Alligator mississippiensis: one gene and its partners. The protein of the gene in region 3 interacts with the protein of the main gene of each other region in a pairwise test. Links are inferred from orthologs where the notes say so. Each region holds a gene or a part of one and is shown on either strand. Other genes may lie near its edges.

Evidence for each region.
Region 1: the proteins of DISC1 (region 3) and STX18 interact in a two-hybrid assay, tested with the Homo sapiens proteins (2 studies listed by BioGRID and IntAct). The link is inferred for Alligator mississippiensis from reciprocal best matches to the Homo sapiens genes DISC1 and STX18.
Region 2: the proteins of DISC1 (region 3) and EXOC1 interact in a two-hybrid assay, tested with the Homo sapiens proteins (2 studies listed by BioGRID and IntAct). The link is inferred for Alligator mississippiensis from reciprocal best matches to the Homo sapiens genes DISC1 and EXOC1.
Region 4: the proteins of DISC1 (region 3) and GNB1 interact in a two-hybrid assay, tested with the Homo sapiens proteins (2 studies listed by BioGRID and IntAct). The link is inferred for Alligator mississippiensis from reciprocal best matches to the Homo sapiens genes DISC1 and GNB1.

What each region holds. Positions count from the first base shown.
Region 1 is NC_081825.1:28,610,299-28,617,138, forward strand, and holds the start of STX18 (syntaxin-18), read left to right. Parts: upstream 1-3,835; 5' UTR 3,836-3,902; coding exon 3,903-4,064; intron 4,065-6,840. UniProt on the Homo sapiens protein: Syntaxin that may be involved in targeting and fusion of Golgi-derived retrograde transport vesicles with the ER.
Region 2 is NC_081825.1:60,853,380-60,860,779, forward strand, and holds the start of EXOC1 (exocyst complex component 1), read left to right. Parts: upstream 1-4,386; 5' UTR 4,387-4,478; intron 4,479-4,812; exon of another isoform or gene 4,813-4,835; intron 4,836-7,400.
Region 3 is NC_081824.1:149,967,707-149,974,720, reverse strand, and holds the start of DISC1 (disrupted in schizophrenia 1 protein), read right to left. Parts: upstream 3,009-7,014; 5' UTR 2,946-3,008; intron 1-2,945. UniProt on the Homo sapiens protein: Involved in the regulation of multiple aspects of embryonic and adult neurogenesis. Required for neural progenitor proliferation in the ventrical/subventrical zone during embryonic brain development and in the adult dentate gyrus of the hippocampus.
Region 4 is NC_081836.1:13,022,567-13,030,382, reverse strand, and holds the start of GNB1 (guanine nucleotide-binding protein G(I)/G(S)/G(T) subunit beta-1), read left to right. Parts: upstream 1-4,806; 5' UTR 4,807-4,970; intron 4,971-7,816. UniProt on the Homo sapiens protein: Guanine nucleotide-binding proteins (G proteins) are involved as a modulator or transducer in various transmembrane signaling systems.

The DNA of each region.
Region 1 (6,840 bases), on a different chromosome or scaffold from region 3:
GCCCAACGTAAGCAGTTCTGCTCATTTTAATGGGGCTATTTGTGTAGGAAGGCACAATTTAGTGAAAAAGTGGCAGAAATTATGGCCCATTAGAAGCATCTTAACTTGGCAACAGCAGATTTGTGTGTCAAAAATGTCTACAAAGAGTTCCGTCCTGGGGGTGACAGTATGATCAATGAGACATTTCTGGAATTCCATTAAGTATGCTTATTTTATTCTTAGCAAAGCAAAGGAAGGTGGAAACAGGCAATTTTAAAGGACCATACCTGAAAATGTCTAATATACCATGTGTGAATTCCAGGCTTTATTAAATACATATTTTGCTAAAGTAGCCCCATACTATATTGCTCTTAAAGGCATTTGGCTGCTAGTTCACACACATACCGGTAGCATTCATGGAATGATAAATCTAGTTTCCCTTGGCACCCACCTGATTAATACCTTAAATATTTTCTCACTATAAATCCAGCACCGAGGACAGTGACTTTAACTGCATATTCTTTTTTTTACTGAAAATACTTATTAGTGTCACACTAAACCCTCCGTCTAGAATGACAAATAGAGTAATAAGTAAAACAACATGAATGAAAAGTAAAATAGCTAAAATTACTAATAGCATAATTATGGAGGAGGCACTAATGATGCTTTAGTTAGGGTTATGTTCAACTTTTAAACTAAAGCAGGATCGTAATTAGTAACAGAAAAAACCCTGACTCTTTTTATGCAGCTATGAAGAGCCTGGATTAAGTTCAGTTTTACTATGGAGAGAGGCAGTATTTTGACACCTGTGTTGAAGTTTTACACTTAGGGGACTCCCTGTGGGACTGTGTCAGAAGTGGTCTGGGGAATTAGAGCTGAATTTAAAGAACACATTGAGATTCCAGGCAATACACCACTTCCACACTCCCTTCTCTCTTCAGTGTAAAAACATTGCTTGGAGGCTGGAACTACAAAACCCACATACACAGCTAGTAGAGTTGATATTAAGGCTGAAAACCAAGGTGAAGGTGAAGGGAATCTCTAACCAAGCTGTTATTGCAAGTCATCCAATGAGTGGGTGGGAAGGGAGGAGGGTCAAATGGCACAGCTTTTGCTCGGGGCTCCTATGAGTCTGTGTGGCAGCTAGGTAAGAATCCATATGGCTCTTGGTCTAGAAGATCCTCATATACAAAGCATAGCTACTTGTTCATGTGGTGGTAGGAATGAATTTGCTCCAGCAATATTAATAATAACAAAGGTTATTTAAAGCAGTCTTCTGACTTCCCACTAAATTGCTATAAACACTATATTGCAATTCATGGGGCATTTTACTTTTGCACCATCCTGATACCAACGTGACTCTTCTGTTGAATGCTAACAGATCTCCAGATCAGATTTCCAGGCCAATCCAGTCCAGTGGAAATATTTTAAACATAACTTATTTCTCAGCTATATTCATAGTCCTGAAGAACATGCATACAATTCCTTCTTCCAAGGCCAGTCCAACACCATGCCTGGTTCCCAAATAATAATTCTACCATAATGGACTAATCCAGAGGTATTCAACCCTGGCTTGTGGGCCAGGTCCAGAGGTACTCAGCCCTGGCCTGGAGCTGTGTCATCTGGCCTGCACGGCTCCCCATGGATCTGGAAATTTGGTGATGCGGAAATGGTGCCTACTCCCCTGCTGTCAAATTTCTGAACCCATGGGAAGCTCCACAGTCCTACACACTAGATCATGCATGAAGGATGATGTGTGTCCTGATCCTGGCATGCAGGAGTGATGCGGGGTCCAATCTCAGTGCGTAAGGTTGGGCAGTTGGCATGAAGTGCCAAGGTGTGCAAGGCTCAATTCCAGCATGCAAATTAGAGGTGCACTGATACATTGGTGCAATAACAGATCGGCACCGATATAAAGAAAATTGAGTGTATCAGAAATTGGCCTGATGTGGCTGATAAATTGGCTGATAAATGCCCATGCATGCGTGCAGCTACAGCGCAGCACATAGGCAGCCAGGAGCACAGCTCGGCAACTTGGAGAGCTGCATGCAGCTGGTAAGTCTGTTGCAGTAGAAGGGGTGGGGGAGGGAAAGGGTGTGGGGGCAGGGGGAACACAGATCAAGGCCCCAGTGGTGAGAGAGGGAGAGAAGCTGGGCCTGGGGCTGGAGCAGGCACTGCCCAGCCAGCGCAGGACAGGGTGCAGGGCAGAGCTGGGGTTTGTCCATGTTGACACTGGATTTGACCCAGCACCTATACCTTTGTTTTGGGCGGGCACAACCCTCAGAACGACCACACCACCTGCCAGTTGATAATAGGCTAATTTATTGATACAGAGTAAGAACAAAAAAGCATCAATACCAACAATCAAACAATTCTGTATCTACCAGTCCTAGGGCTGTCATCAAAGTACATCTGGTCAGGATGGAGGCTCCACTCTGAGGCTCTTTCTTGGGTGTCAGCAGTCTGGAAGTGGGATGCTGAGGCCCACAGCGCCCCTCCAGTGGGCACAAGCTGGGCTACTGGTATGCCCTCAGTCCATGGTGGCCTTCGGGACCCTTCCCGGGGGCCAGGGATGGGGACCCCTTTCAGGGAGCAAAATGGGGAGGGACGGGAAAAAGGGAGGGACCCTTTGTTAATCGCAAGTCTCTGCTTTTGTATTCTCCTTCCCCCTTGATGACTCCTCATGACACTTCATTTGTTGAACACCACTGAACTAACCAACACTAATCCACGTATATCCCCAACACTGAATCTTATACCTCTTCACAAGATAAGGAAAAGAACTGGGAAGACCATATCCAACAGCGCCACCTGGTGATGTCTGCCATAAACAAATAGGACAGCTGACAAGTGACGGGTAGATATCCATCCCTAGTCAGCTCACCCTGTCAATTTAAAAGTTTTGCTAGCATAACTGCATGGGCAAGGGACATGATTTCCATTTGTAACATAGCTATTTGATTAAAAAAAACAAACCCAAAAACAAAAACAAAAACCCAAAGAAAAGAGACTGTAGTACAGAGGCAGTTATAGAGGCAGAAAGCGCTTTTGCTGATAAAGCTTAATTCACCTTCAATGAGTAAAAAAACTTTGAACAAAAATGTTTGTGCAAATAGACGCACCTGCATCTGCACTAGGAGGGTGTTTGCCCAGTACCGGTAAGCTGGCAAAGCTTTTGAGTGCAAGCAAGGCCCAAATTCAGGATGTGGCTCTGCTGGCCGAACCTGGTAGCATTGTCATGCTGGACAGGAGCATGAAAAGATCACCCTCTGTGGCTGGTGCAGCTTGGCTGTAAATGGCCTGGGCATGGTCTCTGCAGGGAACTTGTCGTTCAAGGCAGCTGGCACAGCTCTGCCAGCCAGGTCAGCGCCCTACCAGCAAGGATGGCCGAGGATGATCTGGCAGCAGCCAGGCCCCAGCCTTTCCCCTTTATACGCTATCTAAACCAAAAGCCCAGCGCGGGTGCACGGGGCGCTTGGTGCTGGAGACGTGCGAGCGCCGCCGGCCGAGGAGCCGGAGCGCCGGGCACTCGAGTCAGCCCGGGGTCGAGCCTCCGGGTCCCAGACACTGCCGGTGCCGGCTCTCCGATACCCCTCGCTCCCGGGACCTGCGGCCTCGCCCGCCGCTCCGCCGCCTGAGGGCTGCTGGTGCCGGGGGGGCAGCGGCTGGACCGGGCCTGAGCGGGGCACGCGACATGAGACGAGGCCTGGTTAGCCAGGGCGGCGCCCCGGGGGTCCCGTGCGGGGTGGGTGCCGCTGCGGGGCCTGCGCCGGCTGGGCGGGATCCCGGGGGCGGTGCCTGCCCCTCCCCGCCGGGGCCGCGCGAGGCGGCGGAACGGGCGCGCGGGGCGGCGTTGCGCGGGGACGAGTGTGCGGCGCGCACCGGCTGCCAGCGCGGCGGCGGCGGCGGCGGGCGGGGCCGCCATGGCCGTGGACATCACGCTGCTGTTCAAGGCCAGCGTGAAGACGGTGAAGACCCGCAACAAGGCGCTGGGGCTGCCGGCGGGGGACGGCGCCCGCGACGAGCTGCTGCGCCGGGGGGGGCCGCGGCCCCGCAGCGACTTCTCCGCCCGCGCCCGCGACGTGGTGAGTGCGGGCCGGGAAAGGGCCTCGCGGGCCCCCGGGCGCGGCGGGAATGGGGACGCGGCCCCTTTAAGCCCGGCCCCGCCCCTGGCGCGGAGGCCACCGGGCTCGGCGGGGCGGTGACGTCACCGGGGCGACCTGGCACTGCTGCCCCGCCCCCCGCCGGCCCGGCCGCCTCCCTACCGGGTGGGCGCGAAACCTCTCCGCGCACCGTCTGGCTGCACACACAGCCCTGCCACACCGGCACACGCAGACATGCACAAAACCCCTCCACGCACCCTGCCTGCCACGCACACACACACCCAGAACCCTGCCACACCTGCACGCGCACACACACCCTGCAACACATGCGCACACAGACATGCACAAAACCTCACTGCGCACCCTGCCCGCCAGACACACACCCCCCGCTGCGCGCACACTGCCACTCGTACACCCCGCCACACACAAAATCCCACTTTGCACTCACCCAACACCCGTGCACACTCACCCACAAAACCCTGCTGTATATGCGCGTGCGTGCACACACACCTTGCCACACACACACAAAACCCTGCACACATGCACACACACAAACGAGCACAAACCCTGCCACATGCGTGCGCACACAGACGGGCACAAGACCCTGCCACATGCATGTGCACACCCCCCCCCACATCGTGCCACACATGCACAGACACAGACAAGCACAAATCCCTGCCACACGCACACGACTACCATGAGCACACACCCTGCCACACATGGACACGTGCACACATACAGACATGCACAAAACCTTGGTGCACGTACACACACAGACACACACAAAACCTTGCCACACATGCACACATACGCACAAAACCCTGCTGCACACACACACACAGACACGCACAAAACCCTGCCACATGTATATACACAGATGCACAAAACCCTGCCACACACACACACGCCCACCACCACACACTCACCCTACCACACTCACTTTCCCATCCACCCACCCACCCTTGCAAAGCTAATCATCACAACTGATTGGATCGCTGTTGTCTATGCAGGCCTGGTGTGCCCCCCCAACACGTGCACTGCAATCGCATGCTTCTTCCCATGTGACTCTACCTTGCTCATGGCACCAAAGGGAATGTGCCTCGTGTCTAGCGAGTGGTTCCTGCTGTATTTATTGCACATGATTCAAATCCTGTGTTAAAGACAGAATGATTAATTCCCTCATTGGCTTAGTTTTTTGCTGCTTGTTCCTGCAGTATCTGAATGCAAGGACAAAGCATTAACACTTGAAGGTATTATCCTCATTTAAAGGTGAGGAACTGGGGTATAAAAAGATGAAGGGCCTAAGAATATACTAATTTTGAGTGTTAAGTATTAGATATCTGCTTTTTCAAGTCAGGCCGCCATAACATGAAGTTTACAAAATCGGGGGACATCTGTAAAAGGTTGGTTTAAATTAGGGCTGTCAGTTAATCATGATTAGTGCATTAATCGTTGGTGTTAATTTTTTTAACGTGTTAATCGTGCACGTGGTTTTGGAGCCTGCGCCTCGGCTATGCTCTGCTCCCATCACTGCTGCCTCCAAGCCGCCCCATGGGCAGTGGTGGCAGAGCAGAGGACCACAGGGCAGCTGCAGCAGGGGAGAGAAGCACACACAGAAATGCAGCCGCAGCCTGCACTCAGCCAGGAAAGTAGCTTGGTGGCGTGTGGAGTAGCACCCACATGTAGAGTGGAGTAGCACCCAGCAGGCAAGTCTGTGAAGGGGGAGGAGGGGGACAGATTGGGGCTCCCATGGTGAGGGAGAGAGTGGGGCAGGGGCGGGGGTGAATGGGTCCCTGAGGCCAGGTCATGGGGCAGAGCCATGGCTCATCCATGGGAACTGGGGGTGGCGGGGACTCCTCCTGCTGCAATCACCCTGGGGGTGGCACAGGGGCCATGTGCCCCCCGGATTTATGTGTGGGGTGGAGGCGGGTTGCCGCTGCAGACGAGCTCTGCACCCCACTGCCTTTGCCCCAGAAGCTGCGCACTGGCAATGTTGTGTCCCCTACCTGGCTGGCAGCAGGAGGCACAGCATGGTGTATCATGGCTCCCAGGATAACGGCAGCAGAGCATGGAGCGCAGCGCATAGCAGCAGCCCACCTCCACCCCAGCCACAAATCCAGGGGGCACGTGCTTCCCATGCTTCCCCCAGGGGTGCGCACAGTGGCGGGAGCAGCGCCCCCCCACGCCTCTGGACAAGCTGTGGCTATGTCCCATAACCCACCCCAGCCCTGGGGCCCCATTCACCCCAGCCCCTGCACATGCCTCTGCCCCACTCACTTCCTCACCATGGGAGCCTCGATCTGCCACCCCCATGCCCGTTCCCTCCCCCATGCCCCTTGCCCTCCACAGATTTACCTGCAGTGTGGTGTCTCTGTGTCTGTCTTCCCCTCACCCCCAAACCACAGCCCCCTCAGCCTGGCTGCTGCCCCTCACTCCTGACCCACAGCACCTCACATCCTGCCCGGGTGTGTGATTCATAGATTCATAGATTCATAGATGTTAGGATCGGAAGGGACCTCCATAGATCATCGAGTCTGACCCCCTGCATAAGCAGGAAAGAGTGCTGGGTCTAGATGACCCTAGCTAGATGCTCATCTAACCTCCTCTTGAAGACCCCCAGGGTAGGGGAGAGCACCACCTCCCTTGGCAGCCCGTTCCAGACCTTGGCCACTCGAACTGTGAAGAAGTTCTTCCTAATGTCCAGTCTAAATCTGCTCTCTGCTAGCTTGTGGCCATTATTTCTTGTAACCCCCGGGGG
Region 2 (7,400 bases), on a different chromosome or scaffold from region 3:
CTTCTGCCATCTGTCTGATCTGGTAGCACTATCAAATGAGATGTAGGAGACTTTCACTCCACAGTCAGAATGCATTATTCCATTGAGATACAGAAACAGATAAATTATAAATGGAAACAACCTGACAGGTCACATATCTCATCTCTCTGCTAATACAGACTTGCTCTCTACAGTACAATTTCGGGTGCTATAGATGCATGGAATACTTTAAAATTTGTCACCTGGTCTGTCAGTACTTCCCTTGGGAGACTTTTCCAAAATCTAATTATCAGAGAGAAAGAAATTACAAGCATTTGCAAAAGAAGTCTCTCAGAGTACACGGTTAACAAAAAAGTCTTGGCATCATTCTTACAAAAGGCTTTGACAGTAGTGGCAACAGAGGAAAGAGGAGTTTAAGGGACAAAAACATTGCTCCCCAAAATGGTGCCTTACACCTTATCTGGGCTACACTCAGAACACAGGAATTTCCATACACCAACCTAGCTGGTCTGGTGTCCAGGACCAGTTACTTCAGAGAAAGGTTAAGGAGCTGTAGTAAGTAGATATAAACATGACAGAAAGAGCAAAAAAGATTCATGTAGCTGCTTGAGAAATCAAGGTAGAAGGGATTATGTTCCAAAAGAGATTTTTTTTGTCTTGAGGAGTATCTCATTTTTAACATTTAAACTGTTAGAACTGAAAATACAGAGACATGAAAGGACTATTTTAACATCTGTTTATAATACAGTCTTCTTTCTTTCGGTCTAGACTTACATTATTAACAAAAGGTCATATTCCACCTTGCCATAGAAAATATTTAAACATCAACATTCAGTCATACATGGGGACAGTTACACAAATAGATACACAAACTTAGGAATGTTTCACTGAAGTCAGTGTTTCCAGGGTCATTTAACCAGCTAAGAAACTTATCGATATATATTAAAATTGAATACCTTTTTATGTGCGTCTTTTCTGATAACAAAGCTCTCTTTGTATTTAAAATTATTTTATTGTTAAGGTTGTAACTGAGTTTCCATGATATGTTTCATGAAATTGCTGTTATCTCCACTAAAATTCACACACTAAAGAATATTTGCAGAGAACTGGATTGTCTGGGTCTTGGATTCAGCTAGAATTTTTATACCAAACTGAAATTGAAATGGATAATGGAAGAATACAAATAGCTGTTGCTAAATTATTTTAGGGTCTTGTTCCCCTTTACCCATTTAGATCACATTTATGCTGCTTCATCTACCCTCCCAGTATGGTCCAGAGCCCTCCCTGGCCTACTCTTCTTCCTATTATCTGGATGTTCCCCACATACACCCACTTGCAAAGTACAAACTTTTTTTTTCACAATATAGTCTAGTATTGTAAAATGTCATTGTTTCTGTACCTTTGTGGTCCTATAGCTCACCCTCCCTCCCTGACTGCATCATTCCTCCCAACCTGCCATCCTGAAACCAAACTCCCTTGGACATCATGCACAACCTCAGCTTATCTCTCTCATGATCTGCTTGCCTGATATGCTCCAGAAGCCTCTGTACATGTATCTCTGAACATAATTTGTGCAGTTACAACTGTCTCTCTCAGTTGCCTACAGTACTACATTAAAGGTGGTTCTGCTGCTTCTTGAATCAGGAAACCACCCATGGGGCAGCCTGGCACTGGAAACATGGCGGCAGTGGTGGGGTGTCACCTGACCGCTCTTGTAGCCTACCAGTTGCAAATCACTATACTGCATAAGTATGGGACATAATATCTCAAGAAGCAGGGTGAAACTTGTTAAAAAAAGCAAATTTAAGGCCTTCCTCAGTCCATCTGTGGAGAGACAGTAGATGGGGAGGTAAAGACTTATGTGTAACTTAAAAATATTCTCAAAATATTTTTGTAACTCCACATTAGAATTAACAAATTGTTGAAGTTTTTGTTTTGTTTTTGGTGTGCGAATAGAATTAAAAGTGAAAAAAACCTGGAGCTTTGTATTTAGAATTAGGTGCTCAATATCCAGCTAAAGCTGCATGCAAATTCTATCCAATCTTTTATAGCCACTTTATCCAGTCTTTATAGATCCTACTAGAGACAGTTATATTTTGTGGTTTGAGTGAGAAATGATCACATTGTGACTTCTCTTTTAACCCTGGCCCTCATGAATGATACATTATAGAAAATGTATACAGAATATTGTTTTATGAGTTACAAAAGAAAATATATCAGCTAGAAGCATATCACCTGCTAGTGCTTCAATGTGTTTCTATTATTTGACAAGTGTGTGCCAATAATGATGCTGTATGTTTACAACATGGAGGCTCTATTTTAAAAATGACACATACTAACAATTAGATCATTATAAGAACAGATTCAGAAAACTACAGAATCATTTCCCAAGCAAGTCTCCTGGGACAGCTTAGTGGGGGCCCGTTGTGCTCAGTAACAGACATAATGGATTACTTGAATGATACAATTCTAGTCCCATTTTAAGTTGTTCTGTTTCTGGTTGCACCCAGTCCTGACCTTTGGTTGCAAAGGGCCACGTATGAATTGCATGATGTTACCAATGGGATTTTTTTTACCAGAGCCCCAAAGGATTGACATGGCAACTTGTCCGATGTGGTATCAAGTGAACTTTAATAGTAAGCCCTATGCAATATTACAGATTTCCTCCCCATAACACAACCTGGCAAGTGGCTCCTTTAGACACTACAGCAGTAACTTTTGGTGATACCAGCCTTGGGTCCTCTGCTTGGTGTGTGGGATGTTTGTTTCTGGTTTTTCAGCTATTCGAGCAAAAAGTCTACAGTTTTTTGGGTTTTTTTAAGGAATATTTTTCATGTCCAAAGTCAAATCCAAATCCGTGAGTCATTCAAGAACCATATGTGACCCTACTACTGGCAAGCATCCTGTACATCTGCCTGGGGCTTCAGAAGCTTCCAAATCCTTTGACTGGCACCCTACATGTAGGCCTCAGCCTGGAAGCTTAGGGTTTGGATGCCCCCAACTTTTGCTTGCCCTCAGCTTTATGGCCGCAGGAGCAAGCTAGGGAGGAGTCTTCCATTTCCATAAAGTCAGTGTATAGCTGAGATCTTCCCACTGGAAGTGAAAGTGGGAGGCAAACTATGCATTACCTCAGTCAGGGTACTACCCCCTGCCAAGAAAGTGGTTTTGCCCTGCCAGTATGAAAACCATGTTGGTGGTCATGGTATTTCCCTCATGGTCATGGTATAGTTGCCCCTGTCTCCACAGAGATACAACACGAACACACAGCTTTCCCTTTGCTTCTTGATTACTTCTGTAACTTTCTTATCCCAAGTTGTCCAAATCCTTTAGCACTGTGCCAACCATTCCTTATATGGTACACCAATCCTATCCTACTTTTGGTTATCTTTCCTTACAGGGAAAGTGCTATACATTCCTCACTTACAGCATTCCCACTACAGCACTCCTTCCAAAGACTGTCAGGCACTCTGTTCAATTTTATTGCGTTGCTCAGGGAAAGCCTGGACTGTGGCTAAGCCTTAGCATAACTGAGGTTGCCTGCTACACATGAATACACCCCAGGTGACATGCCTTTGTTTCTTTTCGTGGCAAATGTGAATTTACGCCCCATGTCTACCTGAAGCTACGGTGCCGTATCAAGTGTAAAGTGCTCTGAGGCCTCTGTAGGGGCGGCAACGGAAGCGCAGGGTACCATTACTCTGAGTTTGAGGGCAACTCTCCCACAATGGGCACAAGATGGACCAAACCCAAGTTTCACCTCGGCTCTACAAGGGCGTTAAGGAACCTTCTTCAGGAAAGAGCTGTCCAAAAGCAGGTGACGAGATCCCCGGTTCACTAAAGAGGGGGCAGGAGGAAGACCGCGGCTCAGCCTGGCCAAGATGAAGCCAGCGGGAAGAGATGCAGCTGCAGACTGACGCTCGGTGTTGGTGGCAGGGCTGCCCAAAGCCGCGCCACTGGGCCGCGGGCCTCCCGCTGACCTCCCGGCAGAGCGCGAGGGCCAGGACGCGGCACTGCACGCGACCACACCGGATACGGCCCCGCTTGGGCCCGACGGTACGTAACACCCGACCTACTCACCTAGCTCTGATGGACTTCTGACGTCATAATGACGGTAGGGGGGAGGACATCACACACCCCACCCACCAGGATCCAGCCAACCGGAGAGATGGGGGTGGGAAACGCTGCGAGGCCCCGCCTCACTGCCAAGTTAGCCCCGCCCCCGCCCCCGCCCGCCCCCGCCCGCCTGCGTGACTTCCTATTGGCTCGTTCCAGTACCCGCCCTCCCCTGTGGTGGAGCTGAGCGGGCGGTGTGAGGTAAGCCGGCTACTGGCCCGCCGCTCCGCAAGGGGTCGCTCTCGCTTAGTAGCCTCCCCCAGTGCGGGCAGCGGCGGCTCCGGGGCGCCGCAGTCACGTGACGGGAAGCGGGTGGGCAGGGCAGGGCAGGGCAGGGCCGGGCGGCCGCGCAGGCGAAGAGGAGGCGTTGCGTGCCGGGTCCGGCGGTGAGAGCCAGGCGGCCGCGTCAAGGCTTGCCTGGGGTGCGGGGCGGCCCCGGACCCTGACCCGGGAGGGAGCGGGCCGTTGCCGGGGCTCTTCCGCTTGTTGCTTCGGGCGTGGCAGCGGGACGCAGAAGGCGGGGCTGGCGCTGGAGGACGATCTGAGCCTGAGGGGCAGGCTGGGGAGCGGATCCCCCCGATCCTCGCGCCCTGGGGTCTGAAGGCTTCCTGGAGCCGCCTGCCCGTGACCTGGGCTGAGGACCTGCCCGGCAGATGCAGCGCGGGGCTGCGGGGTTCTTCAGAGGTGGTTGCCTCCCGGTTTCTGCCACTCATTACATGTACTGCGTGGTTCACCAGCGAATGGTACAATAAAGCAGGCAGCTGCAAGTGCAAAGTGGTCACCACATGCTCAAAACGACTTTAGCTATAAAAAGGCAACCAGCTACCAAGTGCATGTTTGGGAACTGTAACAACTCTCTAGATCGTTTCTAGCCAGCTTTCATTTGAGCGCGCAGCAGGGCCCTCTGTCTAGGCACAGTGCACTGACCTGGGCTAGCAAATAGCTTAACCTGACAATGTTCCTCTGCTGAGGGATTTTTGAGGCATTGTCACTTTCCAGGTAAACTAGATTTGCCACTGCGCAATGTCCCTGATAGGTTCCATATAGTCAGAGAAGAAGCAGCTCCTCTTCTGCCTCTGCTTGTGATATTATTTTCTTCTAGACCAGTGATTCTCAACCCTTTTTTGGTATGGGACCCATTTGTAAACTTCGATGGCTAGTACCCCTCGCCTAACCTGCTACCCCCCACCCCGCAGTGTGTGAGGTGTAGGGGGCATGGGGCAGGGGTGGGCCCAAGCTGCCAACCTGCAAGGGAAAAGCCATTGTTCCCCATGTTTTTCTCTTTTAAAGGAGAATCCATTTCTAAAGTTTGTACTTTTCATATGGTCTTGCAACCAGTGGGGTTGAGAAATGTTCTGGAATGTGTTTAGGCCATGGTAGGGGTTAGCTTGTTAGCCAGAATTGGCCTTGGCTCCTTCGAAAGCCTATTCTTCAGACAATACTTTTCTCTCCAGTCTGCCCTACTTCATTCTGACTGGGCTGTCTTGGGTTGCAGCTGATGTTGGTGGTGTCCTGTTGCTGATTGCTTTGAAGAGTCTAACAAAGGGTTGGTGTTAGAAGCTGGATGGTGAATCCACAGAAAGATTGGTGCTGGGTGGGATTGATGTGCTCCTTGCTGATCTCAGCTGACTGAAAGGAGGCTGCTCTGTTTTGCCCAAGCAAGAAAGAAAGGCTATATTGCTTTTGTTTTTAGTCCCAGATAACAGCAGTTTGCCCCAGCTAGTTTGAAGGTGATAGGCATGTGGACCACTGAGGTCAAGTCTCTTCCTTCTGGACAAAGAGGTTTTTATTTCATTGCTACTGACCTTCTCAAATCTGGTGAGGTGTTCAATTAAACTCCAAGGTTTGAACTAGCTTGGATCAACGACAGAATGGATACATTTCAGGAGAAGGGTGAACTAGTTTTCCTTGTTTCAGTCAGTTTTGCCTAAGTTGGTTTTGAGACATCTCTTGTACGTTCAGGTGCTTGCTAACTTTACATTTACAATGAATTGTGGTTAGCTTTATTTTGCTAACACTAATAATGCAAAAGCAAGGCCTACAAAAATTGCTAACCACTAATCCGTAAGTTTTAAAAGATTGTTTGGTGTCTCACTCAACCCAGACAGTTAAAATACAGCACTTCTTACAGTGGCAGCACTTGTGGTGGTTAGTTTAATTTTTAACATTGTTTATAGTTGCTTTATTTTGGAATCAACTGGGTTAACTTTACAGTACAGAGCCCCAGCCTGGGGGTAGCTGCCTGAGTCTGTCCAGCAGGGTTGATGGGGAAGGTGTGAGCCTTCTTGGCTGCCCAGGGCTGGGTGGTCTCTGGTCCAGGCTCCCTACTTTCCTTCCTCTGCCCAGGGCAGGGCCACAGGACCATTCCAGGCCTGGAGAAATCATGCTGCTCCTCCCTGGCAGCTGGGCCCCAGGTCTTGGGAGCTGGACTCCAGTGCAGAGAAGGGCCTCTTCCCCTCTTGGTGCTGTTGCTGCCAGAGGCAGGGCAAGCCCCTGTGCCCCGTGGCGGAGGCTGAATGGGCCCAGCCCTGGGAAGGACAGGACCCGACTGGGCTGAGGGGCCAGGGGAAGACCCTGTTGCACAGAGCAGGGGGGAGTGGCTGCCCCTGCCCCTGGTCCTACCAGGCTCTGTCTGTAAGGTGTGGAACCTCAGGCACTTCAGGGTCTGCCCACCTCTTCCCACCTCAGTCACATCTCTGTAGAACTTGCCGTCTTTTACTGAGCCTGCCCCAGCCCTAGCCTGAAGTCTGCTCCATGCCAGTGCTTGGGACACAGCATGAGCTGCTCTGGAGTCCAGTCTGGCCTGCTGGTGAGGGGATGGGAGTAGGGATGGAGAATGGCTTGGGCCCTTGCATCTGGATCAGGCCCTCTGCACTCAAGGTCACCCCGGTTCACAGGAGGGAGCCCAGGTGTCCAGGGCCCCAGTGAGAAGGCATTATTATTGGTAAACATTATCGGCTATAACAGCCAAAGAAAGCTGATAGCTGATAATATAATTTTCCTTTTATCAGTGCTAGTTTGATAGCTAACTGATATATCAGTCCACCTCTAATTTTTTTTTAAATAGCTGTGCTAATTACTTGCATAGGATAAATTATTTTGTGCTGTGGCCCAAGGCCTTGTCCTAGGACTATAGTGTAAACAGTACTTCAGGGTTGATAGCATCACATGGCAGAGAGTTGGTTGGGATGTCAGATGCACACTGCTCTTTACACTGGATTTAAGGCCTTGTTTTAAAGGCACACAGTAGCCTGGGCTTTCCCTGTTTAAAATTGTGTAAAGCTGTGGAACTTTGGTTGACTGATGTC
Region 3 (7,014 bases):
CAACATCCTCAGTGTTGGTGGAACAGAGGGCTAATCTAGCTTTAAAGTCTTTCTCAGTATAACTATTTCAGTTAGGGATTTTTTTTTTAAGCAAGATAATTTCTGCCAATTAAATCCCTAGTGTAGACATGTTATACAAGTATAATGCTTCCCCTTCCTCTACAGGAATAATTATATTGATATATAGCATGTACCAGTTGTAACTGTATCCATGCTGCTTGGGAGTGTGCCATAACTTCTTAATGTAGACAAGATCCAAGCCAGTATTAACAATGGTAGAAAATGTGTTTTAAATCTTTGTACTTCCCTCCTTTGTGGATTATGTACTGGCATTAGCATGCACTTAAAACACAGTCACACAGTGTGGAAATCAAAGCATTTTTTTCCAGCAGCACTGGGAATTTGACCATATTCAGAGTAAAGTTCCTGTATTATACATTTAATATTTCAAAACTGTCAGGCTTTCTGGGTGAACAAAAGCAAAACAAACCAACAGTTCTAATACATATTACTAAAAACCACCGCTGCTGTCATGTTTAGAAGACCAGGAGTAACCTCATGCACTCCCAAACTTTAGAATGATCACTATCAATGATGTAATGAGTAGGCAAGCAGTCACAAGCCCCAGGTGCTGCCTAAGACAGGGGAGGAGAGGTGCCAGAACAGAGCTGATGGGGCACTTCACCTTCCCATTCCACGTCCCTTTCCCCACACCCTGCACCTTCGCAGGCAGCAACTCCAGCTCTGGCAGCAAGTGGGCAAAGCAGTAGCAGCGATGCACGGAGTAGGACTGGCCAGTGCATAGGAGCAACATGCTGCTTATAAAAAGAGAGAGATGCCAGCTCCTTTCTTTGCCAGCAAAAACCAGTGTTTTTTGGCCACCGCTCAACACACATCAGCAGCAAAAACAAAGTGTCATCTCCACACTACAAGAGCAAACCTCTGGCCGCTGCCTCTGCACCCTGCACTGCTACCATCCAGGGCAAAGTACAAGCCAGTTATGCCTCTGGACACTGCAGGAGGAGTGGAACAAATTGGCTCCAGGGAGCAAACCAGTATACCAACCTGTACCTATTACTTGCACTAGGCTCACAGCAATTCCACAGCCAACCACGGGTGGGACTTTTGTCTCCACTACTAGAGCTCAGCTACCTGAAACAGTCTGGAAATTTCAGCCACCTGCCATTAATGAGAGGCAGATCTCAACAGCATCCCCTCGGATAAGTACCAAATCTTTTCTTTTGGTTGAGATTCTGTGGTAATGTTTACAGTGAAATATCTGGAAGCTTTTCTATTCTGTTCTAGAGAGAGGTAGGTAGCTGTTTTAGTCTGAAGTCAGGCAGAAGGCAGGACAGGTTGGCACAGTGATTCTTAAGCACAGTGCCATGGTGCCCTGGGATGCTGAGAGATCCTTTCAAAGGTGCCACGCAGTACTAGCATTGTTGGGAATACATGCAATTCCAAAGGCTACAGAGGCCTAGGAATCCACCTGCTTCCTGCAGCTGCTTCAGGCCTTTACAGCAGTGATTCTCAATCAGGTGTCTTGAGATCCTTTCAAGGATGTCACACAACGTTAGTACTGTTGGATGTACAAACATGATTCACAAGATAAACCCGGAGATTTCAAATAGAATCTGCACTGTCAAAAGCCACCTACCCAGCTGTGGTACTTCTGTGTTCTTTGCTACAGAAGAATTGCTCAGAGAAATAATAAGTGACAGCTAAGAGCTGCCATTTTCCATGGGGTGCCTTGAGTCTAATTAGGGGTGCCTCAAGCTTAAAGCAGGTTGAGAACCACTGCCTGAGAGACTAATGCATGTGGTTTGGCAGGCAACCACCTACGTTGTCAAACTTTACTTGGTTCACAGCACCTGACAAAAAGTAGGCTACTGCCTACCAAAAGCTTACACAGGCAGTTCTCACCCTTTCTAGACTCAAGGCATCCTTGGATATACTCAAGGCACCTGTCGGCATGTACCAGCTTTGCATTTTCACTTTTTTTTTTTTTTTTTTTTTGGCCTACAGAAAAGAAATAAAGCGGGGTTCTGTCGCAACACAGGCAGAAAGCCTGCCGCTATGGGAGTCCTACAGCAATCTCTAGATTCAACCTTGCCCATCGTGTATGGTAAGCAGCGCTAACAGTGACAGCTCCCTCAGATGGTCTAAAGGCACTCAGGAGAATCCCAAGGCACCCCAGGAGATCTCAAGGGACCCTGCGATGCCAAACCACCCAGGAGAGCTCAAGGGACCCCAGGATCCCAGGACACCTAGGAGGACCAAAAAGCACTCCAGGATTTCTCAAGGGACCTCATGATCCCAGTATACCCAGGAGGACCCCAAGACACCCCAGGAGATCTCAAGGGATCCCATGATGCCAAAGCACCCAGGAGATCTCAAGAAACCCCACAATCCCAAGGCACCCAGGAGGACCCCAAAGCACCCCAGGAGATCTCAGGGGACCCTGCAATCCCAAGGTACCCAGGAGATCTCAAGGGACCCCAAGGGGACCCCAAAGCACCTGGGAGGATCCCAAGACACCACAGGAGATCTCAGGGGACCCCACAATCCCAAGGCACCCAGGAGGACCCCAAAGCACTCCAGATCTCAAGGCACCCCTGGGTGCCAGCCTGCTCGAGAAGCCCCGCCTTACACAGCTGTGCCCTGGCCAGGCTCGGGGGCCAGCCTGCCCCTGCCCCCGAGCCCCGGGGTGCACAGCCACGCGGCCGGAGGAGTCTCCCCCCACCCCGCGCAGCCTGGGCCCCGTCCCGGTCGCGGCGCCTCCGAGCAGCCGCAGCCCCGGGGAAGCGCTTCGGCGGCGCCTCCTCGGCGGCCGGGACCCGGCGGCGCTGCCCCGAGCCGGGCGGGCTGGCGGCGCGGGCTGCTCCGGCCCCGCACACGCACGCACATGCACATGCACCGCCGGGATCCCCCCGCCCCGGCCTCACCTCGCCCCGCGCCGCCGGCCCCGCACCACATCCTCCGGCCCGCCCCGGGACAGCGAGAGCCGCCCCACCCGCCCAGCCCGCGCCGCGCCACGCCACGCCACGCCACGCCACGCCACGCCACAGCCACTCCCCCGCCGAGAGCTGCCAGCCCCCGCCCCGCCCTGGCACAGGCGACCCCCGCGCCGCGCCCGCCCCTGCTCGGCAGGGCAAGGACCCCCGCGCCTCCCCCAGCCCGGCCGCGGGCGGGGGGAGACAGGCTTTGTGAGCTGCCAAAGAGCGTGGGCTCGGGCTCCCCTCATCAGGAAAGCTACTGAGGAGATTAAAAAATAAAGACATCTCAGGCCTCAATCCTGTAGGGCAGTGGTGCTCAACCTTTTCTGGACCAGGACCCATTTGCAAACATCAGTGGCCAGTCCCCAGTACTGTAGCAACAAAGTTTGGCACCAGGGCAAAGCCCATAGTGGCAGCTCACCCCAGCCCTGCATGCAAATCCCACCCAAGCTTGGCCAGGAGTGCACACAATGGCTGGAGCTACCCTTCCCTGGTCCCAGCACCTCCCCAAGCCTGCCGCTTGCTGCTCCGTCCCACTCCCTGCCCAAGCTGGGCACCGCCTGTTGTTGCCCCTTCACTTAAGTGCCCAGGGCGATCGCCCCACTCACCCCTCCCCCTTGTTATGGTACTGCCAGTCCCAACCCAGTGCCCCTCACTCCCAACCCGCTGCCCCCGCTGTGTGGGGCATTGGGGGCTCCAAGCAACCCCTCGCAACCTGGAGCTCTGCCAGACTGCAAGGGAAAAGGCCTTGTTTCCCACATTTTTCTACTTTAAAGGACAATCCACCTGTTGAGAAACGCTGCTGAAAGGGGCTTGAGCACAGCAAGTGGGGATGAGGCGGAATTGATGTGTTTTAAGTCCAAACATATCATCCTCATAACCTCTCAGGCACCTCAAGCCACTTGCAGGGCTGGACACAGGCATGGGTGAGCCAGGTAGCTGCCTGGGGCCCAGGCAGAAAAGGGGTCCCCAAAATGCTAATTATTATTATTATTATCATCTCCAGTGAAGGGGGGGGCAATACTAAAAGCTTGCCTGTGGGTGCCAGGAGTCTAGGTATGGTGCTGGTCACTTGGAACTAAAGCTTTCACCCGGCTTTTCAAGCCTGTCAAGCACAGTTCCTTTAAGCACCTAATGTTTCTGCCTGTCACTGGGGCCAGTTCTGCTTTGAGCAGGGGGTTGGACTAGATCAGTGTTATTAAACCCATGGGTCACGACCCAGAAGTGAGTTGCAAGAATATACAAAAGGGTTGCAAACAAACTTTAAAAATGGATTCTCCTTTAAAGAAAAAAAATGTGGGAAGCCAGGGCTTTCCCCTTGCAGTCTGGCAGAGCTCCAGCCTGTGAGGGGCTGCTTGCCCCCTCTCTGCCCCCACCACGCACACTGTGGCAGAAGGCAGCAGGTTGGGCGCGAGGAGCACTGGGTTGGGAATGGCCACTGATGTTTACAAATGGGTTATGGTACAAAAAAGGTTGACAACCACTGGACTAGATGACCTCCTGAGGTCCCTTCCAGCTCTCATTTTCTAGGATTCTGTGACATATCTGACTAATTCCAACTGGTCTGGTAGATGGCCAGGCCTTTTGATGTGCTGTTACAGGATGAGAGTCAAAGCCCATCAAACTGGGCTATGAGCACCCACCCCCTTGATGTGGGGGGCCACTGAGGGCATATCACTGATTGCTTGGGACAAATAAAATGCAAAATAAGTGAAGAGGTGAGGGTCAAAGGTTCAGAACGAGCACACTGAGGGGGTGGACTGAGCACAGAACACCAGAACGTGGGCACTGGTCTTTGAATGCATCCAAGAATCCAGCTGACACTGCCCAGTGAAACTGCCTCGAGATGTGAAAAGACCAAGGACAGGAAAATGGCCCTGCAGTCCCCAGAGTTCTCCCAGCCAGGGCCTCCTTCCTGGTCAGGTATATTGCCATCTTGGTCAGGAGGAGGTTGACCAGGAGGTCCCAGATGTGGGAGTGCCACAGATAGGGAGCACATAACAAAAAAGGGGCAGGGAGTCATGCAACCAGAACTTCAGCAGGAGGTTCTGGAGGAGGCAAAAAAGGGACTGCAACCTGGCGCATTCAAGGGTAGGCATGTGCCAGGGTCTCTCCACCTAATTCAGTGCTTGGGAGTGACTCAAATAAGGTCCATCATCACAGATAACACAATACATATTTTATTCCCATTTAAACTAAACTAGAAACTTTACTAATGCAAGGGGTCCAGGGCTGTGTTATTCTGTTTAAGATTGGAGCAGAAACAAACATAACTTAATTGGAATGTGTTCAAAAACAATCTGCAGGTCTGTGAAATAGAAGCAGCGAGGCCCCTGCTATACCTTACATATATTATGCAATTCACAGTTGAATTGTGAAATAAATTTATACTGGCCACACCTGCAAAGTAAGACCAGCCACAAGTTCAAAGTAATTATCACCTTGTTAATGGGTGAATCGTGCAATAAATTTAGACTGGCCACCCATATGCAGAAATTATCACATGATAAAAATTACTTTCCAGCTGTAAAAACTGCTAACCAGCTATAAAGTTAGTGCTTGAAAATGTGTAAGAACTCTATAGCTGGTTTCTATCCAGCTTTAATTTGAATGTGTAGCAGAGCCCTAACAGACCACAGAATGGCAGAAGGAAGGACATCCTGATGGGTAGAAAATCAAGGCCATTAGAAAGAAGAGAGGGTCATTAATACTTATGAAATGAAGTTTTAAGAAGGGATCGGGCAGATAATAACGAGCCCTGAAGTCAATTGACTCCCTCATCAGCTGCCTGACTAGAAACGCTGCTGCCACTGCCAGACAGTTCATTTTAAACTGTGGGTGGACCAGGGACCTGACAATAGAGTGGAACAAAGTCTGGGTCTTCCCTCTGCCTCTGTATAAAATCAGACCCTTCTACTATGGGGATGACCTTGCTCAGGTTCTTTGCCTGAGGGGCACAATTCTGTGGACTCTTCCCTAGGTCCTAATTCAAACTGTATGCCAGCACCTTTACCCAGTCTTTTACCAGGCCTCTGCTGAGAGTGCTTCCCTTCTGAACATTTGGCATTTCCAACATGAGGTAGGCAAGGACCCATAGGTGATAATCCCTTGATCCAAGGATGGTCTCTACCATGGCTCACTGATGAGTCTTGTGGTGACTTGGGAGTCCAATCCTAGAGCCACAGATCCATCCACAGAAGGAGACTAAGCTGCAGGCTGGGATTCCTCTCCTTTTCCTTCCTCTGCTCTCTCAGCTTTGAGGGCAAGACATTTTACCTCAAAATGAGCTGCTGCTTGGGTAAGGTTGTGGTGCCACTGGAGTCGGTTGGCAGCCAGCTTCTCCCAAATCTTATTGACAGCATCTGTTTTCTTGAGGTATGCCTTCAAAGTGTTTTTGTAGCATTTTCTCAGGCCATTACTAAGCTGGGAGTACAGCATTTGTTTTGGGAGGCAAGAGTGAGGCATCTGCACACAATGTCAGGTCCAGTGAAGTTGATGCTTGAGGATCATTGACTCAATGCTGGTAACACTGGCTTCAACAAAGATGCTGGTGTTTGAGTCAACGTTCCTATTTGATGCAGAGGATTTTCTGGAGGCATCATTGGTGATACTTCTCCAGGCTCTTGAGATGGTAATGGTAGGTCATCCCCATTTCACATCTATAGAGGAGAGCGGGGATGATTTTTCCATTGTAGACCTGGATCTTGGTGTCTTTCCAGAGACTGCAATGAATAAAGACATGCTGAGATACATTCAGCACCAGGGCAAACTATAAAGCACTTTGGTCTTCTCAATGTTGAGAGAGAGGCCCAAAGTTTGGTAGGCTTCTCCAAAGAGATCCAGCATGGTGTGGAAGTTTTCCCCAATGTGCACAGTCACTAGTACATTGAAGTTCAAGGATGGTTGTTTTGAGTACTTTGGTCTTCAAGTGAAAATGTCCCAAGCTGAAGAGTCCTCCATCGATTTGGTATTCAGTGTCAATTCCAGAAGGAAGGCAGTCATTAATGAGAGCCAGGAT
Region 4 (7,816 bases), on a different chromosome or scaffold from region 3:
TTAATACACTCAAATATTTGTTTTACCAGTAGCATCACTTAAAGTAATAGTTACTGCAGACTTTCTAAGAGTGGAGAGACTCCTCTTGACTTCTGTCAGCTTTAGATCAGGCCCTTGATGTCACTAGATAGTACTGGTACTGCAAGTCAGTTAAGCTTTGGTTGTGTCAAAATGTAACCTTTAAGCTTTTTAAAGGTATTTGCTATCCCATACTTACTGTAGTTTAAAATAATTGTATTTAGATGTTATATGACTCTAAAAATGGGTACAAGTTAAACATGGGTGAATTAGAGTATTTTCTGTGTAATCTGAGCAGCAGAAAGAGTAGAAGTTTGTCAGAAAGATTAGTAAGAGAATTTGAATGTATAGTTAATCACAAAGCAGAATGACAAGCACAATAGTAGTGATAGAAATGAATGTTGTTTTTGTAATATTTCTGTTGTGGCAGTGGCAGAGCATTGGCAGGACCCTTGTCTCTCCAGCTTTTGCTTGTGCCATGTTATTAAAAGGTCTTGGCATCTTGTAGATGGTTCTAATTATTTGTGAGGGCTTAAAGTGGCAATTTTGGGGATTCCTTAGGTTAACAGTAGCCTACTAATGGAGGGGATTAGACTCGATGCCCTAGGAGGCACCTTTTAGCCCTCTGTTCCTAGTATGACAATGCTCAAAAGCAGTTGGGCTTGAGACCCATTGTGATATGGTCTGTAACGATACAGGTAAAAGTTAACCTCTGCCTTCACTGGCTTTCAGAATCCAGGGAACATCCAGATTTGGGAGCAATGGGAGGATTCTGAAACTGGAACGTAGCAGTTGAGCTGCAGCAACATGAAGCTCAGTGCAGGCTGCAATATGCACCCAAGAAGAAAGGTAAAACAGCTCATGCTTTTGCAGCTAGATTGCTACCGGTACTTGAGCCAGCTAGTTTAAAGCTAACTCAGGTATGTGTACACTACATTGCTAATACTGCTGTGATTTACACCTTTATGGGCTAGTAGTATAACCATTTTACAGATGGGATGATTGCTCCACAGATTGGTAAAAGGCATGAAACCAAGCAGCAGTTCCTCCTGCTGCACCTCTACCAAATGTACACAAAAGGGAGGTGGTGATGTTTAAGCCAGGTTTTCTGGGAAGGGTGGAAGAGATGCAAGATATGCAGTGGATCTAAAGTGAATGTTGATACTGCACAGATATTATTAATCCTCAGCCACCTCCATTTGTATGTGCCAACAGCAATCACATGCACGCAAGAGTGAGAGTGGAGCCCGAGGGCTGAAAACTAGAACACAGCTTTCAGTGTGTTGTGTTTGTGTGGAATCACAGACTGGCTTGATTTAAAGGGATGCTCTCTAAACCAGGAGTACCTGAAGTTGCCTGTTGAACAATTGTTCCCTACTTGGTAACATTTCATAGTGATACCACAGTATGTTGAATATTCCTCATTTTAACAACTAGCTTCTTTGTATTCTACACAAAAGGCTTGTATATTTCCTATGCAATTGAAACGAGAGTTTTTTACTGCTTTCCTAGTGATATGTAGTGTGTTGTACACACAGGTCCTGGGTGAGAGTTCAACCTGCAAAACTCCAGCTCCCTAAAATAACAGCATCCTGGAATGAGAGAAAAGACAAACTCAGGCTAGGATAACTCAAGGTCTTGTAATCATGTTTTAAAGACTGTTGAAATGAACATAGAGCAGCAGACCAGCCCCAAGATCCAGCTGGTTCAGTTTCCCTTGTCCATCAGCGGATTATACCAAATGACTCAAGGAAAGGGGCAAGACATTACATACTCGGGAATGATGAAAACAACTGCTTGCAGCAAAATCTGCTCTTTAGCTCTAGGTAGCTAGGGAATAGATACACTTGGGAATATTAGAAAAAACTTTTCACTAGTGATCTGGGATTCCCACCACTGTTTCTGCTGAAGTGGACCTAACATTTCTGAGAGTGCAAGTTTAGAGAACGTTATGTTGGTTTCTGTCAGGGCATTAAACTTACCAGCTGTCTGCACTATATCTCATTTACATCAGTTGTTGCAGACACTACAGGTTGGACTGATAGACAGAATTAAATATTTAATTTTGTCATCAGACAGCTTAAACTTTGTTTCAGATCTTGATATGTTCATGTTGCCTTGGAGCTACAACAATCCTCTTCTGCTAATTAGGATACACAAGCATTTATGCTGTTGCCAAACGGAGGTCAGGCAAACACCTTTGCTTCCAAGACGGCACTCCATGTGGACACCAAAGTGAAACAATGGTTTTCAGACAAAATATAATTTACTAGTAGCATCCACATTCTTTCAGGAGGCTTCTAAAATGCAAAAGAATTGTCTAATCAGACAATAAAATTAGCACTTGTTTTTTATTGGAGGATGGGTCATAAGTAAACCAGGAACTACTCTAAAAGTTGTATTTTAAATATCTGCTTTGGAAGCAAAAAATAACTGTGACTGGGCATGTACAAGCATAGAGTTCCTCTTCAATCCTCTTAGCCAATCTCCATAAATTGAAAGAGGTTACAGAGCACAGGCACAAGTCTTCAGTCTTCATATAATACAGGGAAGGATACACGTTATAGAAACTCCTGGCTGAAAACAAGATGAACTCCAAAAGTCATTTCTTGTAAAAGGTACAAGAGCAGAATTCCTGTCCATTTTCCTTTACCAACAGTATGTAAGAACAAATTAGACATAAACACCAAGGGAAGGTCATGGGTACAAGTGGGATCTGGTCTCACATGTAGTTGAAATGATGAGAAAGAAGTGGGCGCTGGTTTATTAACGTCTGGTTGCAAAAAACATTTGATGAGATATAGCTTTATGTCCATTCATGTATGGAAGGAGATGAAACCCAGCCCCCAGGGAAAAACACTCTCAGAAGACTTAGGGAAATAAAAGCATCTTTCAAAAGCTTGGAACCTTATTTAAGGCCAATGCAGATATCTTTTTTTGCATTTTAAATCTGCCAAGGTACTTCTGTCAGTCAGAATGAAAATGGTAAAACCTGTTTTAACAATCAAGCTGATGACATTCTCTAAGAACTTTTCAGGCCTAATGGACTTTGCTTAATGGTACTAGTTTTTTTTCACTAGGTCACATATTTTAATGTATTTTGAATCCTGGGTAGTTTCTTTTTTTTCAACACAAATCTTAATACCTATCTATACTACAGAGCCCCAACCAAAGATGAAGCTGGGTCACTACAGGTTGTAGTGTCCAACCTGTAGTGTCTGCAACATGGTACTGGGTCACTACCCCAAATGACACAGGCTAAGATGACAAAGCACCCCCCTACCCAATTTTGTCGTCACAGCCGTCTCCACACCAGGGGTTTTACACTTCTAGCAGACAGGCTTTATTAACCTATTAACCTAAAAATTACAACTTAGTCTCAAGTAGTATATAACACACGCTACAACCACATTCAAAAGTATTTCGAAGCCTACCTATCTGAAATCCCACCGCTCAGAATAAGAGGCTGTTTCGACTGGAACATTGTAATAGCTATGTTTATAATTACACTCTTTTGTCTCCACAATACTTTAACAACATCCAGTAAAATGGACACGTCGCTTCTAAAGGCAAACTCTCATCTCTAGCATAGAGAGAAACAAGACATACACGAGCCAAAGGCCCCAGTCTTATGAACATTTACACGTGCCCAGGTTGAGACACAAATAGTTGTACTGCCTTCAATAGGATGAGTCCTGCCCATAAAGCTTAGCACATACACAAGTGTTTTGTTTGTAGACAAGTTTCCTTGGGTGAATTTGATATCCTTGCGTGAGACGACACAGAACAGATGGCAAGCGCAGGGATGGCAACGCACAGGTCCTGGTGCTCAGTGCTCGAGCCACTTGAGGAAGCTGCCTGGGGGAGGGGAGGTTGTTTGCCAATGCAAGGGCTGAGCGCTGAACTTTAAACACAGGATGTAGGACCGTTCAAACAACATCACAACTGTTGTAAAACAAACAGTAACAAAACATGGATACCCAAGTTCCTCCACAACAACCCACCGTCCCTACGGTGACTAGCTCACACCCTTTCTCGGTCTCATTTTAACCAACTCCACCCAATTTTGAGGTCACGCTCTTCTCTGTAAACCTAATTTTCCAGCCTGCCCCTTCTCAGGACGCTCATCATCTCTTTAAATTGTTTTTTCTGTGGAAGAAAAAGTGGGACGCTTACAAGAAGCCTCTCTTATTGAATAGTTTCAGTATTTTTCCTCATTGCTGTCGGTTCTGGCTTGGTTTTCCTTTCTAGCTCAGCCGGGCTGCGTTGCTCATCGTTAGGATTTTTAAAACCACTTCTTTCTATGGATTTTAAAGCTTTTTTTTTTTTTTTGGAAGGTGTTTCATCTCTTTGTAAACGGACTTCCTGGTCAGGCGGAGGCAGGATCCTCCCTTGCACACGCCGCCACTTAAGAAAGCACAAATACGGGTAAAGTGTGTGCGTGTGTGTTGCGGGGACACCGGCACCAGCACCTCTCTATTGCTTTTACAGGGAGGGCAGAGCGGGGCGGCCGCGGCCTGGCGTCACCTTCCCGCCGGCGGCGCGGTGCTGCCCTCAGCTCCGGCTCTCCGCGTGCTGCGGGGCAGGGCGAGGGGGTCCCGGCCCCCGGGCCGTCCCCTCAAGGACACCTCTGTCCCCGCGTCCGCACCCAACGCCCGCACCCGGGCCCGGCGCTGCGGAACAAAGGCGCGGCCCCTTCCCTTCCCTTCCCCTTCCCCTTCCCCTTCCGGCGGGGCGGGGCGGGGCGGGGCGGGCCGAGCGGGGTTTCCCGGCCGGGCCGTCACGGGCGGGGGGCGGAGGCGGGACCGCGCCCAGGCTCCGGCTCCCGATGGCTGCGGGGAGCTGAGCGGGACTGACTTGGAGCCGACGCCCGGGGACCCCTCGCGCCAGGCGGGCCCTTCTTCTCCTCCTCCCCCCTCAGCCGGAGCGGGCACCGCGGCCCCGGGGAGCAGGTACTGCCCGCCCTTCCTCCTCCTCCTCCTCCCCCCCTCACAGCCGGGGCTCCCATCCCCCCCGCCGCAGCACCCGGCCCGGCCCGGCCCGGCCCGGCCCGCGGCGGGAAGCGAGGCAGGCAGGGAGGGGCCCTGCCGTGTCTGGTGTCGGGGCGCCGGGGGCTTGGCGCGGCCGAGGTGAGTGCCGGGCCGGGCCGCGCCGGGCCGGGCGGGGCAGGAAACCCCGGCAACATCTGGGGCTCGCGGGGGCTCCACCGCCTGCAAGGGTGGGGGGGGTGCACATCTGGAGCTGGCCTTGTGCTGCATGTTTGTGCGAGCCTGAACCCGGAGCGTGCCCCATCATGGAGGATGTGCGCGCCCCGGCAGAACAAGGGAGCCGCTCGCTATTGAAATCCTGTGAAAAATAGATGTGGTTTTTCAAGCCTCGCTTGCTCCCGTACTGTTTTCAGCACCCCCCCCCCCTCCCCCTTTGCTCCTCATTCAAGGGGCTGCTTAGATTAGAAATCTGCTTTTTATTATCATTGCAAAACTGCCTCTCAAAACCTGAAAATGGGCGTAAGGCGCGCACAGGCAGAGGAGAGGAGAGGCAAGAATCAGTTGAAAAGGGGGGTGGGGGGGGAGGAAGAGAAATCTTGTCCAGCAGAATATAAGGATGATGTAGAGGTTATTCTACGGTGTCGATTTATCGTGTGTGAGGATCGGCTGAAATTTTAACGCGTGCAATTTTTCACGGTTCTCCAACCAAGTCCAGCTCTGGACTGGTTTTAAATAAAGCATCCTCGGGCGAATGCCGGCAGCCACGTTGGGAGGCATTGCCTGCTGCTGGGGGATACCGGCTCCAATTAAAAAAAGAAAAAAGCAGGGGGATGGGGGGGAGGGAAAAAAAAGCGAAGCTATATCATTAAAATGGTTTCTGAAGCAGCAGGCTGACCTCCAAAGGGAGGTGTTCGGAGACTGGCATTAAAATGAGATACCGTTAGGTGCAGAAATTACCAAACTGTAAGGGGGGGGGGGTGGGTATCCCACATTTTGAGGCTTGTCCTCTGAACACGGGGATGTGACAAGACAAAACGCGGTCGGTTTCTACGTGGGAAATGCAACTGAAAAAATAAGCTCCTACCCAGAGAGGTAAACTCTTTATAAGCGCTGTACATCAATCTCTTCCGATTCGGCGTGTTTTAGGGGGAGAGAAGGGGTGATAATAGTGCAGTTGTTTTGGTGGCTGCAGATTACCGAGGGTGTGTGTTTGATTTTCTTTTTGCTGTGAATGAATGGATCCTTCTGTGCCTGGGCCCAGTAACTGCAACAAGATGGCGTTTGCAGCAAGGCAGCTCTCTCATTTTCAACTCCTCCTCACCACAGCTTTGCCAAACTAGACACTATCCCTTAGTTGCATTTTAGATTTCTCTCTTTTTTTGTTTTTGTTTTTGTTTCCTTTCTCCTTTTTTGTAGTAGGAGGAAGGCTTGGGAGGTGGGGGGGGTGCAATAAAACAAATATATAGGTATTGCTTATTTTTAATTTTTTTTATAGCATTTCCCCCCAGTACAGGAGACTAGGTGGGAGGAGTAAATAGTTTTATTGAAATTTTCACATAGGCTGTGACTGGTTAAAGCAGTAACATGATGCCCAATGTCTGTTCATAATGGCATTTGGAAAAAAAAATTCTAGCTTATTTCAGCAACAAATTTTAACGAACACATATTTTTATATAATCCAGAATTGAGGTCTGTATGGAGAAAACCTGTATAAAAGGCTCTGTAGAACTGCATGTTTCCTACCATCCTAGTAATAATTAGACCCCCATGTAGACAGTCATATCTTTTTTTTTTTTTTTTTTTTTCTTATCATAGAAAGGAAGCGCCCTTCTGCTTCAGAGCCCTCCAATGATTTGTGGAACCTTTTAAAACTGCATTTGACCTGAAATTGTCAGTTTGCATAATTATTCTTTTATATTAGATGCGGGGGAGAAGAAATGAAAAGGCTATTTGCATATTAAAACCTTTTTCTGTGTTCCTTGCCCTATTTTAAAAATTACATCATACATTTATAAAATCTTTTAAAAAGTGGTTTTGTAGCACCTTAAAGTGTACATTTCTTAATCAAAGCCTATTAGGTTTCCTGGTTTATTAATTATAGAAAGCTAACGTTCCCTCCCTCCCCCCCCCCCCCAGTTTAGACACTTGATTAAAATAAACAATTCAGCTGATACTTGACAAAAACAGATTTACTTATCCTCAAGCATGTTCAAATGACTCTTAACAGTTCTAAAATATATGTCAAACTACACAAAATATTTGGCTGCTTTTTTGATGCTTTCTGAATTAAAATTTTCTCTCTCCTCTTAATAATGGTATGTGAATTCTGGTATTGCTGTGTGGATTTATTTTTGTATAATCCATCACTTGCCAGATGCTTTTATAGCTTAATTTTCCTAAGGCTATAGGAACCTTTTTATGATTGAAGTTTTTTTTCCCACTCTTTAATTTTTACAGGAAGTATATAAATCCCAAAATGCTTGTATTAAAGAAATTAACATTTCTCTAATTAGCTCAATAACTCATAGAGAACTTTTAAAAAATCTGTCAGCATAAAATTTCAGTTTAATTTTTTTGTTGTGTTCCACTGAATTTGAAACTAACAGTAGTATTAGTACTTGGTACTAATACTAGTACTTCAGATATGTTTTTAAGCTAAAAAAGAAATAAATGGGGGGAAAAAACATTTTAGTCTCCTGCATTGAGTGACTAAGGCAATATAAATTTATCTCTGCTTAGTAGTCCTTCCAGTTGCTAGGTTAGTTTGTAGCAAGCATCCTATCATGAAAACTTAGTTGGTACCTGAGGTT